Rattus norvegicus: one gene and its partner. The protein of the gene in region 2 purifies or fractionates together with the protein of the main gene of each other region. This does not show direct contact. Links are inferred from orthologs where the notes say so. Each region holds a gene or a part of one and is shown on either strand. Other genes may lie near its edges. The genes, in order: Polr1d and Polr3d.

The links.
Region 1: the proteins of Polr3d (region 2) and Polr1d purify together in Homo sapiens (affinity purification with mass spectrometry; 6 studies listed by BioGRID and IntAct, counting the BioPlex papers as one, with this or other methods). This does not show direct contact. The link is inferred for Rattus norvegicus from reciprocal best matches to the Homo sapiens genes POLR3D and POLR1D.

What each region holds. Positions count from the first base shown.
Region 1 is NC_086030.1:13,113,175-13,120,932, forward strand, and holds the start of Polr1d (DNA-directed RNA polymerases I and III subunit RPAC2), read right to left. Parts: upstream 4,896-7,758; 5' UTR 4,861-4,895; coding exon 4,835-4,860; intron 1-4,834.
Region 2 is NC_086033.1:51,921,665-51,929,486, forward strand, and holds the start of Polr3d (DNA-directed RNA polymerase III subunit RPC4), read right to left. Parts: upstream 4,289-7,822; 5' UTR 4,247-4,288; exon of another isoform or gene 4,196-4,246; intron 4,028-4,195; 5' UTR 4,023-4,027; coding exon 3,858-4,022; intron 3,289-3,857; coding exon 3,245-3,288; intron 2,304-3,244; coding exon 2,152-2,303; intron 2,016-2,151; coding exon 1,891-2,015; intron 1,633-1,890; coding exon 1,464-1,632; intron 1,117-1,463; coding exon 851-1,116; intron 691-850; coding exon 538-690; intron 394-537; coding exon 271-393; 3' UTR 1-270. UniProt on the Homo sapiens protein: DNA-dependent RNA polymerase catalyzes the transcription of DNA into RNA using the four ribonucleoside triphosphates as substrates.

The DNA of each region.
Region 1 (7,758 bases), on a different chromosome or scaffold from region 2:
GTCTGTAAAGTGCTTTGAAAGTGGCAAGTGCTAGGCCAGATATGCAGAATTATTAGATATTAAAAGCCTTTGGTGTATGGGCATCTCGTTTAATGATTGGTTCTTTAGAGGACACAGGATTTTACAGCCAAACAGAACTTCTGATCTTGAATCCTTAACACTGCAGTGGTTTGAGTGCAACGTCATTAGCTCACCAGTGAGGTAGTGGGGGTATTTTTCAGTTTATATAAGCAAGTATGATTCAAGTACAAGTCTGTCACCCCCATTCTTCTGCCCTTTCTTTCATAGCCTTGGGCCAGAACTCACTATATACATTAGGCTGTCCTCAGATTCAGAGTTCTACCTGCCTCTGTCTGCAGGTATTAAGAGGGCACACCAACACCCCGAGCTCTCTCAGCCCTCTAGTTCCCACAGACTGCACACCGTTCCTTCCACACATGTGGCACTCCTGATGAGCCTATTTTCTCCCTGAGCCCATCTGCCATCTATATGAACTTTTATCTGAGCCTGTTTATGGCCACCCTAGATGGATTTACACTGCATGCCACAGGATGAGTGACAACCCTTTATTGCGATCCAACTGTGAGATCCGGTGGTGGTCACCAGTTGATACACTGTTTCCTCTAACTGGACTTTCTTACACCTTCCATTGGTTTTCTTCACTCTTCTCCGCCCTAACTGAACTGTCATCATCCTTGCTGCCAACTAAGCATACCACTCTAAGGGCCGTGTCTATTTTATCTTTGGAAAACTCAAACCAAGTCATTCCTCAGCAGAGTCCTCTCCTTAGACCCCAGATGAATTCGACCCACAGCCTAGTGGCCTCTGGGCTAATTTCAAAGGACCTTTTCTTCCCCAGTCATAGGGCTGACTTACTCAGCATCTTCCACAGCAGAATTTACTGTCTCATCAGGTATATACTCTACCTAACACTGAGGTTGCCTGAGGCTTGCTTCCCGGCCCCTTCCTTATCACTTTCCAGCCTCTGTTGACTTACATCTTTATGATCAGGACTCACATGGTTACCTTCAGCTTGTATCTCTCCCAGGGCCCGCAACCCTCACAACACAAGTTACTTCTAAGCTCCTTGTCCTAGTAATTGGCCTCGAACCTAGACAGGAGATGGAAACATCTGGTTCTCTATCTGACATCCTGTTCCTAGGACTTCACCCTTCTCCCTATTGTCCGTGTTATCAGCATTTTGGGCCACTTCTGGTCTGGTTTTGCTACAATTTGCCCCATCATCCCACTCTGTAATGGAAATAACACAGCACTCCAGCTCTTTTCCTCACTGAATCAAGAAGATGGGCCCTTCTCCTTATCTGCTATGCTAAACCATAGAAATCTTTAAGTTCTCCAACCTTTAGTTTCTGCTTCAGGAGCTCACATTTCCCCCCAAGTGTGCATTTGCTCTCCACTCCGCATAGCCTCTTCTTTTCCTACGATCTCTGGAACTCCTTCCCTGGTTTCTGTGTTCAAAGCAGACACTTCTCAAGTTCTCTATCTGGCCTTGTATTTGTTTAAAACTTTGTTTTTTTAACTCCATTTAAAAAAATTCCTACTGCCAAGCCAGGCAGCGGTAGTTCATGCCTTTAATCCCACCATGTGGGAGGCAGCCTGGTCTGAAGTGAGTTCCTGGACAGTCAGGACTACAGAGAAACCCTTCTTCCAAAAACAAAAACAAGTTTCCACTGTTATCTGTTTTCAAGGCCTGGTACAATGCAGGCATTCAGTGAGTACAAAAGTATCTTTTTAAAAAGTGGGTCAAGTCTAGGAAATATAGGCACTTGGCAGGGTACAAGAGGTCAAATATAACCTAAAGGTTCCTTTTTTTTTTTTTTTTTGACTTTTTGAGACAGAGTTTCTCTATGTAGCCTTGGACTTCCTATCTCACTTTGAAGACTAGGCTGGCCTCAAACTTAAGAGAGCTGCCTGCCTCTGCCTCTGCCTCTGCCTCCAGAGTGCTGGGATTAAAAGCATGTATGTATGTTGGTGCTGTTTTTCTGAGGCAAACTCTTGTTATTCAAGTCAGTTGGATCTTTAACTTGTAATTCTCCTGCTTGCATCTTTTTAATGCTGAGATTACAGGCATGCACCATCATCCCTGGCAGAAAGTGGAGTTCTGACTGAAGACAAGCATCACCAAAGATCCCAAAGCTCAAGAGCAAGAGGTGACTCGGCTCAGGAGTGACAGATACTTAGAGTGAATTAAGTCACGCCTGGGTAGAATACTTACAAGACACAAACGATTAAAGAGATAAACCAGATGACTCTTGGGATGTGAAAAGTTTTGTTAATATTGTTAGTTTCCCAAAATGTCATTTCTTCTGCAAAATGTCATTTCTTCTGTACAGAATTCTCTTCCTCCAAATCCTGACTTTCTAACAAATGTTATCTCTTCTATGTAACCCTGGGCTCCTACCTAAAGACTAAAAATGTTACCTGGTAATTCCAGTCTTTCCAATAATTAAAGTTGGAGCTGGAGAGACAACTCGGTTGCTGAAGCACTTGCCACAAACTTTAAGGATCTGATTTTAATTTCCAGAGCTTACGTAAAAGAAATTGGGCAGGGTGGCTAAGCTTCCAACACCAATGCTCGGGAGACAGATAACAAATAGGTTCCTGGGGTAGCCTAGCCTAACTGACAAACCCCTTTAACCCCAATATGTGAGAAACTAGGGCAAGGGCAAGTTTACCAAGTGCATTCCAAGTCAGCCGGGGCTAGCTGGTGAACGTGCCCTAAAACCAACCAAACTAAAGGTTAACTTCTGGCTTCCATGTGCATGCATACATATCCACACAAACAGGCCTGCACGAAACCTAGTAAAAACTGGTTTACTCATGTCGTGACTACATATTTCATTAGTGTTCTGGAATTCAAGCAATAAATTGACATCCTACAAAAGCTACGAAGATGGAGCTTGATACCAATTCAAATTCTCTTGCGAAATTAAAACTCCGAGGAGTACTTCACATTATCTTCATCCTTAAGGTAGTCTACTAATCATATCAAAGAAGCATTTGCATTAATAAAAAAAAAAAAAACAGCCCGGAGATGCCTTAGTGGGTACAGGTGCTTGCTGTGAAGCCCAACAATCATCAAATGGCTCCAATATGGCGTTAGGAGAGAACAGACTGCCATGCATGTACCACGGCATGTTTGTGTGCACATACAAGGAAAATGTAAAAACAAACACCACCTCAAGTCCCTCTTCCAATCTTCTTTCCAGCCTTTTAAATCATAGTGTCCTGGACCTCATTCTACTTTACCTCTCCTTCCCACAGCATCTCGATCATATAGAAATAGTCTTTTTAAGATCTGTGATCACAACCTCTGACTCGGCCCAATTACATCTGTTCACTTATAGTGTTGGTTCAATTAAGGGGTGACACCATCCTTGGGGGTTCATCTAGGTTCAAGGAAGAGAAACCACTCAAACTAGTTTAAACAAAAGCGAGAATTTATTAGGCAAACAGACTTGCAGAGATTCCAAAAGCTGTAATGGGTCAATAGCTAGAGCCACATTTTCCTATAGGACAGAACATGCTGTAGTCACCAATTCTAGTTCTGGGCTCTGTACCATCCTGAGGGTGGTCCTGCTTGTACCCTGCACGAGGGACTAGAGCGTGGGTTCGTTTTTGCTTGCCTTTTTATCTTTATAGTCCTTTACGCTGGCCTCAAACTTGACAAGCACATGCTGGCAGACATTCAAGAGCTCATTCAGGCCTTTCTGAAACGGCTCAACAGCTGGAAGTGCACCCCGTGTCTGAATTCGCAAATTAATTTTGCTCTCTGAAGGATGGGTCGTAGTGTAACCACAAAATTCCACTTCCGGGTTCTTCATGATTATGTACCGCAGACAATTTCCTAGTGTATGGTCCTCCTCGTGTAGTACAAATGTCACACACTGTCTATCTGTTCCAGCTGCCTGGACCATTTCCAGGGCTGTCTTCCTCTCGCCTTCAGCCATTGAGGTCTTCAATCCTGATATTTTTCTACACACATATTTTTTTGTGTAAGAATGAGATCATACGGAATATCGTTTTCTGATTAACTCTTAAAGATTCACTGCCTCATTTTCCTGCCTCCACACTTCTAGCCATAAATATTTAACTCGTTTCTCCCTACTTCATTTGACTCCAGCAAGGGGGTGGGTACCACCTCAGAAAAAAAACAAAACAAAAGAAAAACAACCCACGAAGTTAATTGTTTGCAAAAATCTTCGGATAGAGCAAAGAAAGGGGCAGAGTTATAATAGGGTAGGCCCTGCTTTAGATGAAAAGGGAGTTGACAGGCATAAAAAACACGATTACTTTAGCATAAAAATGGCAACCACAAGGTATCAGGGTGGCAGGCTCAGTTACAGCTTCCGTTTGAAAGAGGTAAGGAAACTAAGTGAAAGGAAGTGAAAAGTTTAATAGGAGGGAGAATTTGGCGGACAGAGAGAATTTACGAGCAGTCTGCACAGAGCGGAGTTGCAGTAACTTTAGCTAACTTAACACGCCAGGACCGCCACTCGGGACGGCTGGCCCGGTGCGTGACCTTACACGAGGCAGTTCTAATGAGGGTGGTGGCAGTTTGGGACTTACAGCTGGATTCCCTACCTCTCTCCCATCCCGGATGGCTAGCGTCCCTCTGGGCTTTTCTGTTATAAATGAACCCACGGCTCCTCCCTCTTCCCAACCCGGCCCGCTCTATTCTCTCTCCTCCCTTCCCCAGCGCCTGGGGTCAGGCCTAGCCGCCACGCCGGGCTCAGTCGGCCGCGTGCCCCTTCGCTACCCGCTTCTCTGGCCCGACCCGCCGCCCCACTCCACTCTTTGCCTCCAACCTTACCTCTCCAGCTCCTGATCGTCCTCCATCGCGGGGGGCGGCTCCGGGAAATCCTCAGGTGGCGCTGGCGAAAAGGAAGATCTTCCCCATGTCGCGAAAGGTGCGGGACAAGGCAGGAAGGAAGAAACCACCGACGGAAGGAGCGGATGACGGAAGGAGGGAGGCGGAGCCGCAGCGGCGCGGCAGGGCCCCCTCTGAAGGGCGGGGCTAAAACAGAACCCGCCCCCGACCACGCCCAGGCTCGGGCTGGACCGCTCACCTGGAACTGCGGAAGCCAGGCGGCTGCGGTGCACATTCTGTCCCCGAGTGCTACCGTAGATCACAGGCTTCTCGCCTGTTGCCCCGAGACATCTGCTATTTAGCGTCGGGGTCGGATCTCTGACTTGCTAGAGTCTCGAGGAACGGGACTGCCCCATGGCTGGCTATTCCCGGGACCGGAGTCCTCAGGGGCCTTTCCTGGGGCACCCAGCATATTGCAACCTTGAAAAAGCAGAGAGACTAGTGTGCAGAGGTGACTTTCCTGACGATACTGTGGGCTTTTTATTTTCTCCCAGGGGTGCAAATGTACATCTCCAATAGGTGCAAGGGCAGCGTTTGTCTTTCTTTTGGGAGAGAAGTGAGAGTTTGGAGCACCGCCCTCCTTCCTCCGGAGCTCACGCGGTGGACTTGCAGCTCCTTTTCCCTTTGAACCCAAGGAACCGCCCTTCTCAGGTGCATCCTCTCTTCTCCCACCTGACCCTGGCCAGGCTGGATCCCCGCCCCACCCAGCTGTCCTCTTGCCCTGCACACCTACACGTCAGCCGCCCCGCGCCACCTGTTCTCCCTCAGCCTGGTCCCGCAGCCCTCCCCTCCCTTCAGCTGTCCCACGCCAGGCGCGGCGCTCCAGGGGTGCACGCAGACACTTCCCGAGCGTCTTCTCTGTGTGTCTGAGGGGAGAATCCGGCCGGGAGCGATGGCGGAGGGCGGAACGCGCTCACTCTAACTCGGGAGTGATGAGCAGGGCCGACCCGGCCCCTAGAATTCCTTGATTGGTCGAGCGGCTCCAAGCCCGCTCTTAGTCCCGCCTTCGCCCGCCGTTGATTGGCTCAGGTGCGTGTCGGGTTGGGCCTCTGCGCTCGCCCCCGAGGGGAAAGGCAGCAGGGGCGGTTGAGAAGTAAAGTCTTGGCCGGACTTTGCTTCTCGCCAGGAAATCGGCGGCGGTGAGTCCCGGCAGAGCGGAGCCGGGTAGCGTCCTCGTTAGCGCGCCCGCGGGGAGCCCGCCGCTTTCCGTCAGTGAGTTACTTCGCCTCAGGTGCGGGCGGTGACGGGGTGTGGCGTCAGGGTAGGGGGGACCATCTGGGGAACCGCTGGGGGCCGCGTGGTGTCTGGCCCGGCCCGGTGCGGGTGCAGGTTCCAGGAGACCCGGTGCGGTTCTGCGCGCCTCTCGCTTCTCAAGACATGGACGTTTGAGGACGAGTTGTTGCACTTCGCGTCTGCACGTTGTCGGGAGCTAGAGTGGCGCTAGCCAGCTGCCCTTTGGTTTTGTTCCCTGGAAGGGATGAGCAGAGAGACCCTCCTCCCCGCCCCAGCCTGTTGCGGGGGAAGTCTCACCTTTCTCTTCAGATTTGACATGTTTGGGAGCGTGGGGGTATAATTTCCAAAATATGAATCCCGATTTGGAAGCATTTGCGCACAAAACACCTCTTGGGGAAAAACATCGCTGGCTTTTGAAAGCTTTCTGCCACGTTTCACACAAGGGCTTTTTTTTTTTTTTTTTTAAATGGAGTGTTCTAGTATTTCCGTTTGCATTTAAGATTGTGTGTTTGCCAGGAGCCTAAGGACGCTTCCGCGTGGCTTTTTCGAATCAATTTTTCTTTTCTCTGTAGCCTTGGCCAGCCTGGAACTCAGAGGGATCCACCTCTTTCCTGAGTGCTGTTGGGTTAGAGAGGCGTGCGCCCCACACCCCGCCAATTTTTCTTTAAAAATAAAATCACAGAAACCAATGGCAAGGATAGTTGGAGGATTCTGTGAGCTCCAGTTTATCCAAACTGCCTTCACTTTAAGAATGTCACATTCTTTGTAGTCACAGTACTTAGAAATTGGCCTCCTTCCCAGGACACAATTTGCTTTTTCTCTAGCCTGTACAGTGACACAGCACAGACGAAGTTGGATCTCAGTAGGTCAATCCTGTTTGCTTTGATAGATTTGAACACCCTCCCTCCCCCACACCTTCGGAAAAAAGGACTTTGGCAGGTAAAGAAGGAACCTGGGGGAATCTAGTGTCCTATTTGGCCTGCAGATCATTGTTGAGCCAGAGCTAAGAAGGTTTTGCCATTTTAGCCTGTCCAAATTCCATGTGAGTTTTCCCAAAGGGGTCAAATGTAGGCCAACTCAGAACAGCTCTAGAGTCACATTGCTTTTAATTTAGTCCATCCACTAAGTCTGTGTTCTTTTCCTCTAATCTTCAAGTTTGAGCCTTTTCATTGTATAAACATTTAGCTACTCAGTGTCTACCGCTTTGGCAACTTTGAGGAAAGGGATCATTTCTTGCCCAAAGTTGCTCAGTGGCTGTATACTTCTTAGTCCACTACCGGAAAGTAATTTGAACAAAGTAATGTGGGAACTTAAAATCATTTCTGCCTAGAATGTGTCAGAGGAATTGGCACAGGCTCTCTCTGGGAGCATCCTAAATGCTTATGGCTGTAGAATGTGACATTATCTGCTGTGCGTATGGTTAATCTGAAGAACACAATGTTTGGGGTTAAAGTAATAGGGGTCAGGGGCTGGTTTTTTTGTTCATCTTAGGTAGGGTTCATGGTATGTTCTACAACTGGACCCTCAGATATCTGTTGAAATACTAAAAAGAAAGGATTTTGTGTAGCACATGAAGACGTTTGGACACTTCATCCAGTCAGTGATCGTGGGGTGTTCATTTCAAGCAGGAAGAT
Region 2 (7,822 bases):
TAAGACATAAATAAAATAAATAGCAGGGTCAGGTTCCCAGAAGTGAGGACGTTTCCATACTCATGCTGTGTCAATTCCCACTCATAGCTGCTGGGGGGGCGGGGGGCAGCATGGGCCCTAGTGTGGGGGTTGGGGGGACTGGGACTATAGCCACCAAAAGCTGCAACAAGTGGGTTAAAGAGGCCCCAACTGGGCTGCATGTCTTTGAGAACAAAGGTCTGGAGTAGGCAGCGGTCATGGGCAGTCACCATCCTCCTCCATCTGTCCATTTCACCGGTGTTTGTGATCCAAGAGAGATTCAAAATCAGGAGAACATACAAGTTTGTGCTTCACATGTCCTAGGACTGTCATCTCCCCTGTCCTGCTGTCCCCAAGGCCCACAGACACCAGTTCCTGCCATTCAACAGAGACATCAGTGAGAACCACACACTCACACCCAACCCAGCCCTCAGTCCAGTGACCCAAAAGTTCCTTACTGCCTAAGCACAGGCTGTTTAATACTTCCCCAAGCCTCTCTCTGGCCCACAGGGGTTGTACCTGCAGGAAAGAACAGGTTGTTCCCATGGTCACATCCAGAGTCACCTTGCCCAGGAGAAGCTGCACCTTCCCTGATTTGCGGATGAGTAGCTTGCCCACTTGACCCTCTGTCAGGTCAGCCAAGGTACAAGCATTCTCTGCTAGCCTGGTTTCCTGTGGAGAGAAGCAGCAGGTAGTTACTAGGCAACAGCTTTCATGAATGAATCCTATTCTGTTTCCCAGAGAGAAACACAGCAGCAGTGATCTATGCAACAAGGGCTATGTCCTGGAGCTATCAGCCTAGAATTTCCCCAGAACTCGCTCTTGAGCATACCCGGTCCTTTTCTTGCTTTATGACTACCATCTGTCCATCCTCGCCCTGCACCTCTGTCTTGACAGGCTTGATGTCCTGAGTAGGCGGCTGCCCAGGGAGGGTATCAGGCAGCTGAAGGAACAGCAGCTCCTCCTCCTTCGTGAGGCTCAACTCCCTCAGCAGCTCTGCCACAGACACGTCCTTTGGAAGACCAGGGGTCTTCCTGGCTGCTCTTGGAGGGGCTTTCACTTTCGCCTCCTCTTCCTCATCCCGTGGCTCCTCTTTCACTGCCCAAAGTGAGAAGAAGGAAAAGACATCAAGTAACCCTACCGGCTAAGCCAGGTCTCTGTTCCCAACCCTTCATGTCCATGTGCTTCACTGTTATTCAGCCAGAAGTTACACAGAGGAACAAGAAAGAAACTCAAGAGTGCGTGACTCCTCTAAAATGAGACAGCTGAGGCCAGGCGTACTGGCACAAAGACATGTGGACTGAGGCGGGAGCTTATGTCTTGATTCCACGCCTGTACTTCTGAGTGGGAAGGAAACGGAGACACTGCTGAGCTGCAGTCTTGGAGGTCATGTGAGGGCTTCTGGGGACAGCTAGGGAGGAGGGGAAGTCGGTGGCACGGGTTACCTTTTACAGCTGGCACATCCACCTCCATGTCTTCTTCCTTGGGGCCAGCAGAAAAAGGCTTAACGTCTGGCTCTTCACTCTCCTCCTTGAAAAGCCACCCTGAATGAGCCAGTGGCAGTTGTACTGGCATGTTCCGTGTGTCATTCTTTAGCCCTGGGTCATCGATGAACTGCCAAAGAGTGGGGGGGTCACATTAAATGTCAGCATGTGTGCCTATGTCACAGCCCATTTCAGGACCTGTCACTCCCTCTCCTTTGTGTGTATATGTCTCACACATGGAGGCAAGCAGTCTTTCCACGGAGCTGCATCCCCAGCCCCACCTTAGTGCTCCTGTGACCAAAAGCCCAAAGATGTCCCTGGCCTGGCTTCCTAAAAGCCCTTGTTAGCAGATACAAAGAAACCGGTCCCCCAGGCTGCTGGAACCTACATCATCCTTCTCCAGCATGCGCAAGATCTGCTTGGTTTCTTCATCTGTTTCTCTCTTCTCTTTTTTGATGTTGATGATATGAGAAGGCCCCATGTCTGACATATCCACAGTCTTATCCCAGTTCCCTGCAGGAAATCATGCCGTTCACTAGGGTTAAATCAGGGGGACAGCAACAGCAAGGGAAACCAAGCTAGGAAAGGAGAATCCCATGTTCTGCTTTCTCAGGTGGTCTGACCCGCAATCCAGATCCCTTCCTGGTACCTTTTTTTTTCATCATTTCTGCTGGACCCTGCTCAAAGATGGAATGGGACTGGATCACTTCTGGGCGGCCACGTCCCCGTCCATGACCCTCACGCTGGCGGTCTCTGTCCCGTTCACGCTTTTCCTTCTTCATAGTTACTTCTTCCTTTGGCCTGGGGATGAGGACAGATATAAGGGTCTGCCTCAGGAAACAAACCCTCCTCACCCACCTCATTTCAACCAACTGAGCAGCGTTTGCAAGCCAGAAAAGAGACCATGAGAATCACAAGCCAACCCTTTGTTACACCTGCTGTTACACCTGCTGTTACACCTGTTGTTACACCTGTTGTTACACCTGTTACATCTGATAAAGCACGGCCTTTAATTTCCTCTCACTTTACCTCCTTGTCCAAAATGTGGGCTTTCTGTCCTGTTTTTGCCTGGAAGTAGAAAGACTGGAAAGCAGAGGAACTTAAGAGGAGTATGAAGAGCTTTGCTCCACCTCAGCAGAATTAGGAGGAAGCTGAGGTGGAACCTACTGGGTGGTTGTCCAGCTCCTGAAGGAGGACAGAAACTCAGCCCTTTCCTCTCCTTGACTTCTTTCTCCCCTTGGGTATTCTCTGACACCAGCTCACTGCCATACCATAGACCCAAAAGCATAGAACCACCTCATCACAGACTTAAACCTCCAAAGCTTGGACGTCCAAAATGAAATGCCCCTCTCTGTAAGTTGATATCTCAGCTATTCATTGCAGTCAGACAAACAGATGGATGGATTGACAGACAGGCAGGCCCTCTAATGCAAAGTGCCTCAGAGCCAGGCATGGTATACACCCTAATCCCAGGGCTCAGGACATAGATCTGAGAGGCAAGCAGATCCCTGGGAGTTCTAGGCCAGCAATCTACACAGTGAGTTCCAGGATATGAAAGGCCATGTAGAGAAGCACTGTCTCAAAAGCAAACATATCTCTACATAACCTGGGATTAAAGCATGAGATCCACTGGTGAATAAGCCAATGGCAAAAAGTTAAAATTCCCAGGCTGCACACCTAATTACTTCCTCAAACTCAGAGCAAAAGAGGGTGAGTGGTGTTCATTAATCCTATGTACTTACTCTTCTTTGATCTTCCGACTGATGATATTTGGGGTGAAGGTTTTCTGAAAAGTAAAATACAGTACTGTATTTTCGCAGTGCTCAACAGACCAACAATTCTGGGAAGGCTTGGAGAGACAGATCTGCCAGCACTGACAAATGGATGACACAGGGAGACTACCGTAGCTTTATCCTGTTTGTTCTGCTTTCTTTTCAGAGTACTCTTATATCTACTGTTATGCACATAATGGGAGAGGACAAAGAGCAGTTAGTTACCTGCATGCCTAAGATTCATTCATCACCACTAGATTATTTGCTTCCTTACTGACATCCACAGAGTTATGAACACTCTACCAAGTAAAGCAATTTTGTCTGACTTTCATGGGAGTTTGTAAGGTGCCCATAACATAATAAGCACTTCCGAATGTCTTGAATTAACTAGGTTCTCTGCCTTTTAATTGCCTATGAAACCATGTCAATGTCTTGTACCAGCACCTAGGCTTGAAGGTCTCTCGCTAGAGGCTGACATCCCATCAGGGACAAATGGCCGTATATGAATGAACATCACGAATTGCCTCCCTTCGGCCTGGAACTCAAAGCATTTGGGTTTCTGTACAAATACACTCGCCGGTACCTTCTTGACACCGCCAAGGGTGAGGTCCCGAGAGCGGATGGAGGGAAGGCGGCCTGGCGTAAGCGGGGGAGCGGGCCGCCGGCCCACAAGTCCCCGGCCCCCAGAGAGAAGGGGTCGGGGCCCTCCAGGATTGCTGGGCTCGCCCGCGGCGTTTCCTTCCGACATGGTTCCTAGAGGAAAGTAGGCAACAAAGTGACTCCAAGGGCTGGATGCGAAGACCCTGGGCGGAACCCCACCCACGTAATCCCCCTCTGTACCCCCCCCCCGTCCGTGCGTCGTTCCCGCTGCACCACAGCTCCTCCCAGTCCCACGTGGCGAGGTTTCCCGGAGCGCCCCACCTCTAGCTTTGGACTCGTCACATGCCCTCTCCCCGGGACTGCATGACGTACCTGCGTTGAGGCTCTACGCCGAGTTTCACGACCTCACCTCTAACGAGACCAACCACCGGCCGCCGGTCTCACGGCAAGGCGGAAGTCTGCGTGGCAAGAACCGGGGGCTGCCATCTTACCCTAGGGCGGAAGTGACATCAAGGGGGCGTGATCGGACCATAGTATTTATCAGACGGTGCCTCGCTGTCCTCCGCCTTCTCTTCCCGGTTCTTCCCGGAGTCGGGAAAAGCTGGGTTGAGAGGGCGAAAAAGGATATGGGAGTGGATTCTGAACTGTGCGGGGGTGTGACTCGTGGGGGTGTGTCTCTGCTCCTGGATGACAGTGCTAGTGCGGTCCACAGGGTCGGGGGGGCCTCCTAGGTCGCCTACCTGCTGTACGGGGTGTACTGCGCAGCCTCTGTGAACAGTGAGGTCGGCTCTCGGGATGCATCTCCGGACATAGGGAGCCTTGCCCTCAGGCCGAGGCTGGCTGCAGCTTCCCTGCATTGACCTTGGAGTGGTCACTGTACCTTCGGGCTTGTCCCTTTGCTCGTGAGCGCCTTCCTTTGCGGATCCCTGAGGTCCTAACGCAGTTTGGACAGAGCAGCCAATAGCTCTTTGCCTATCTGGGTTCATGATTGCTTAGTCAAATCTGGAAAGAGCCTGGAACTGAAGTTTGCTCTTAAAGTGGGAGTTTTTGTTTTTTGTTTTTTTTTGGTTGGGAGTGTGTGTGTGTAGTGTGTGTTTTTAAGACAACACTACTCTTGTAACCCTATCAAGTCTGGAACTTAAGTAGACCAGGCTGGCCTCGAACTTGGCAGCAGTCCTGTCTCTTCACAGACACCCCTCAGGGCACAGATTACAGATGTGCACCACCAATCCCAGCTTAAAAAAATTTTATTGTAATGGATGTATACATTTAATATATACAAATATATATAACTTAATCTGTGGGGAAAAAGTCATTTAATGTTACACCACAGAGATCCCCAATACGAATTAAAAACATTATGTAGTTCTAGGGAAGGAACCTATTTCTGCTAGAATTCCATAGACTGCTAGCATTAAAATATTAGTGATGTACTGTAACATTGTGCCACACAATACTGTATCCTTTGTTGGAAACAAATGACCAATAGGAGTATATATGTATATATATGTGTGTGTGTGTGTGTATATATATATATATATGTATATATATATATATATTTATCTTCCTTAATGCATTCATTTGAACAGGTATATCGTTAGAAATAACTAGTGTACATTTGATAGATCCAACTTTTTTGTTTTCTTTTAGATTACATCCCTAGGAGTTTCAGAAGAAGTACATATTAAAAGTAAACTTCATTTTGATGCCATACACATGCAGTTACTTAAAGGAAAAGTAAAATGATGTGGAGAGTCAGGCATGTTGGTGCATGCCTATAAACCCAGCACTTGGGAGGCAAAAGCAGGCCGGTCCAAGTTTACCAGCTTGGACTACAAATCGAGACGGTGGTAGAGGTGATGATGGTGGTGATGGTGATGGTAGTGGTGGTGATGGTGATGATGGTAGTGGTGATGGTGGTGGTAGTGATGGTGATGGTGGTGATGATGGTGATGGTGGTGGTAGTGGTGGTGATGGTGGTGATGATGGTGATGGTGGTGGTAGTGGTGGTGATGATGGTGGTGATGATGATGGTGATGGTTGTGATGGTGGTGGTGGTGGTGGTGATGTTGATGGTGGTGGTGATGGTGGTGGAGGTGGTGGTGATGATGGTGGTGGTGGTGATGATCAGCAGAGCCTAAATTCTGTTTACTTTGCCTTCCCCAATTGTAAGATCTAGCCCTTTTATCAAAACCAGAGTATTAACATTTTTTGCAGTCATGGTACAAGACATTTCAACACTACAGAAATCCCTGGAGCTGCCCTTTCAGATACAGTCTTCCTTACTGCTGAGCCTTCTCTTCCTTTCCTCACTCCTCCCCCCACTAATCTAGTCTCCATTTCTAACATTTTGTTATTTCAGAAGATAGAGTCTTATTATGTATCTCTGGCTGACCCGAAACTCACTGTAGAGACAAGACTTGACTTCAGACGTTCAGTAAAGTATCTGCCTCTCTGCCTCAGCGGTTCTAGAATTAAAGGAATGTGCCATCGTGCCCAGCTTTTGTGGCTGCACTTTTATCCCCATAATTTTGTGGCTATTATCCAAGTGATATATATCATTAGTTTGTTCCTTTTCCTACTTTGTATCTGTGGTCTCTTTAATCATCCTTTGAAAGACATCTGGCCGGGTTGGAGACTTAGCTCAGCGGTAGAGCGCTTGCCTAGGAAGCGCAAGGCCCTGGGTTCGGTCCCCAGCTCCGAAGGGGGGAAAAAAAAAAGACATCTGGCTTGTTTAGTTTGTGTCTATTGTGAATAAAATTGCTGTGAATAACCATGCAGCTTTTTGTGTCAATACAAATTTTCTCTGGAATGAGTGCACCTGTTGATTTGTATGATTGAATGATTAATCTTGGAAACATGAACAACAAACTGGCTTCCATGGTGGCTAGACTATTTTCGATGAGTATTCTGTGGGTCATCATCAATGCTACTAATTGTTTTCAAAGAGTCCTTATGCAAGAGGACTGGAGGTGCCTCCATGATTAAGAAACTTGCTGCCCTTGTTCCCAACTCTTAGGTAGTGGCTCTCAGCTGTCCATAATTTATTTTCAGGGGATTTGGTGGCCTCCGAGGTCACCAGGCAAGCTAACAGTGCACATGCATGCATGCAGGCAAAAACCGTTTATGCTCATAGAATAAGAACAAATAAATCCTTTTTTTAAAAAAAGTGCTGTGTTAGCTTGTCGGTGGTGGCATGTGCCTTTTATCCCAGCCCTGAGGGTGGTAGTGGTGCTCACCTTTAATTCCAGCACTTGGGAGGTAATAGGTGAGTCTCCCAGCCTAGTCTACAGAGAGTTCCAGGACAGCCAGGGCTACACAAAGAAACCATGCCTCAGAAAAACAAAAGATAAAAAATACTGCGCTAAGATGTATCACTACTAAAAAAGTAAGAATAAAATTAGAGAAGGGCCTGAGAGATCCCCACTCCTCTCTGAGGATTTTCCAGGTGGTTAAAAGTTGATGGGAGGAAAGGAAACACATGTTCCTTCAGTGGTGTAACCATTGGTAAGATGTTCATGTTCCTTTAAACAGCCTCCAGTAAAACTGATTGAATCACACACACAAATAGTAGAAGGGTAGCTAGCTAGGAAGAGGAATAGTGGGCCAGTGTCTTAGCTAGTTTAATGTCAACTTGACACAAGACAGAGTCATTGGAGAAGAGGGCACCTCAGTTGAGGAAAATGCCTCTATAAGATTAGGCCTTAGGCAGGTCTCTGGGGCATTCCCCTACTTAGTGATGGAGGGTGGGGAACAGCAATAGGTGGTGCCATATAGAAGACCTCATACTAATACTATCCAAACTATTCCACAGAATTGAAACTGATGGAGCACTATGGAATTTCTTCTATGAAGCCACAATTACTCTTATACCTAAACCACACAAAGACCCAACAAAGAGAACTTCAGGGTTGGGGATTTAGCTCAGTGATAGAGTGCTTGCTTAGG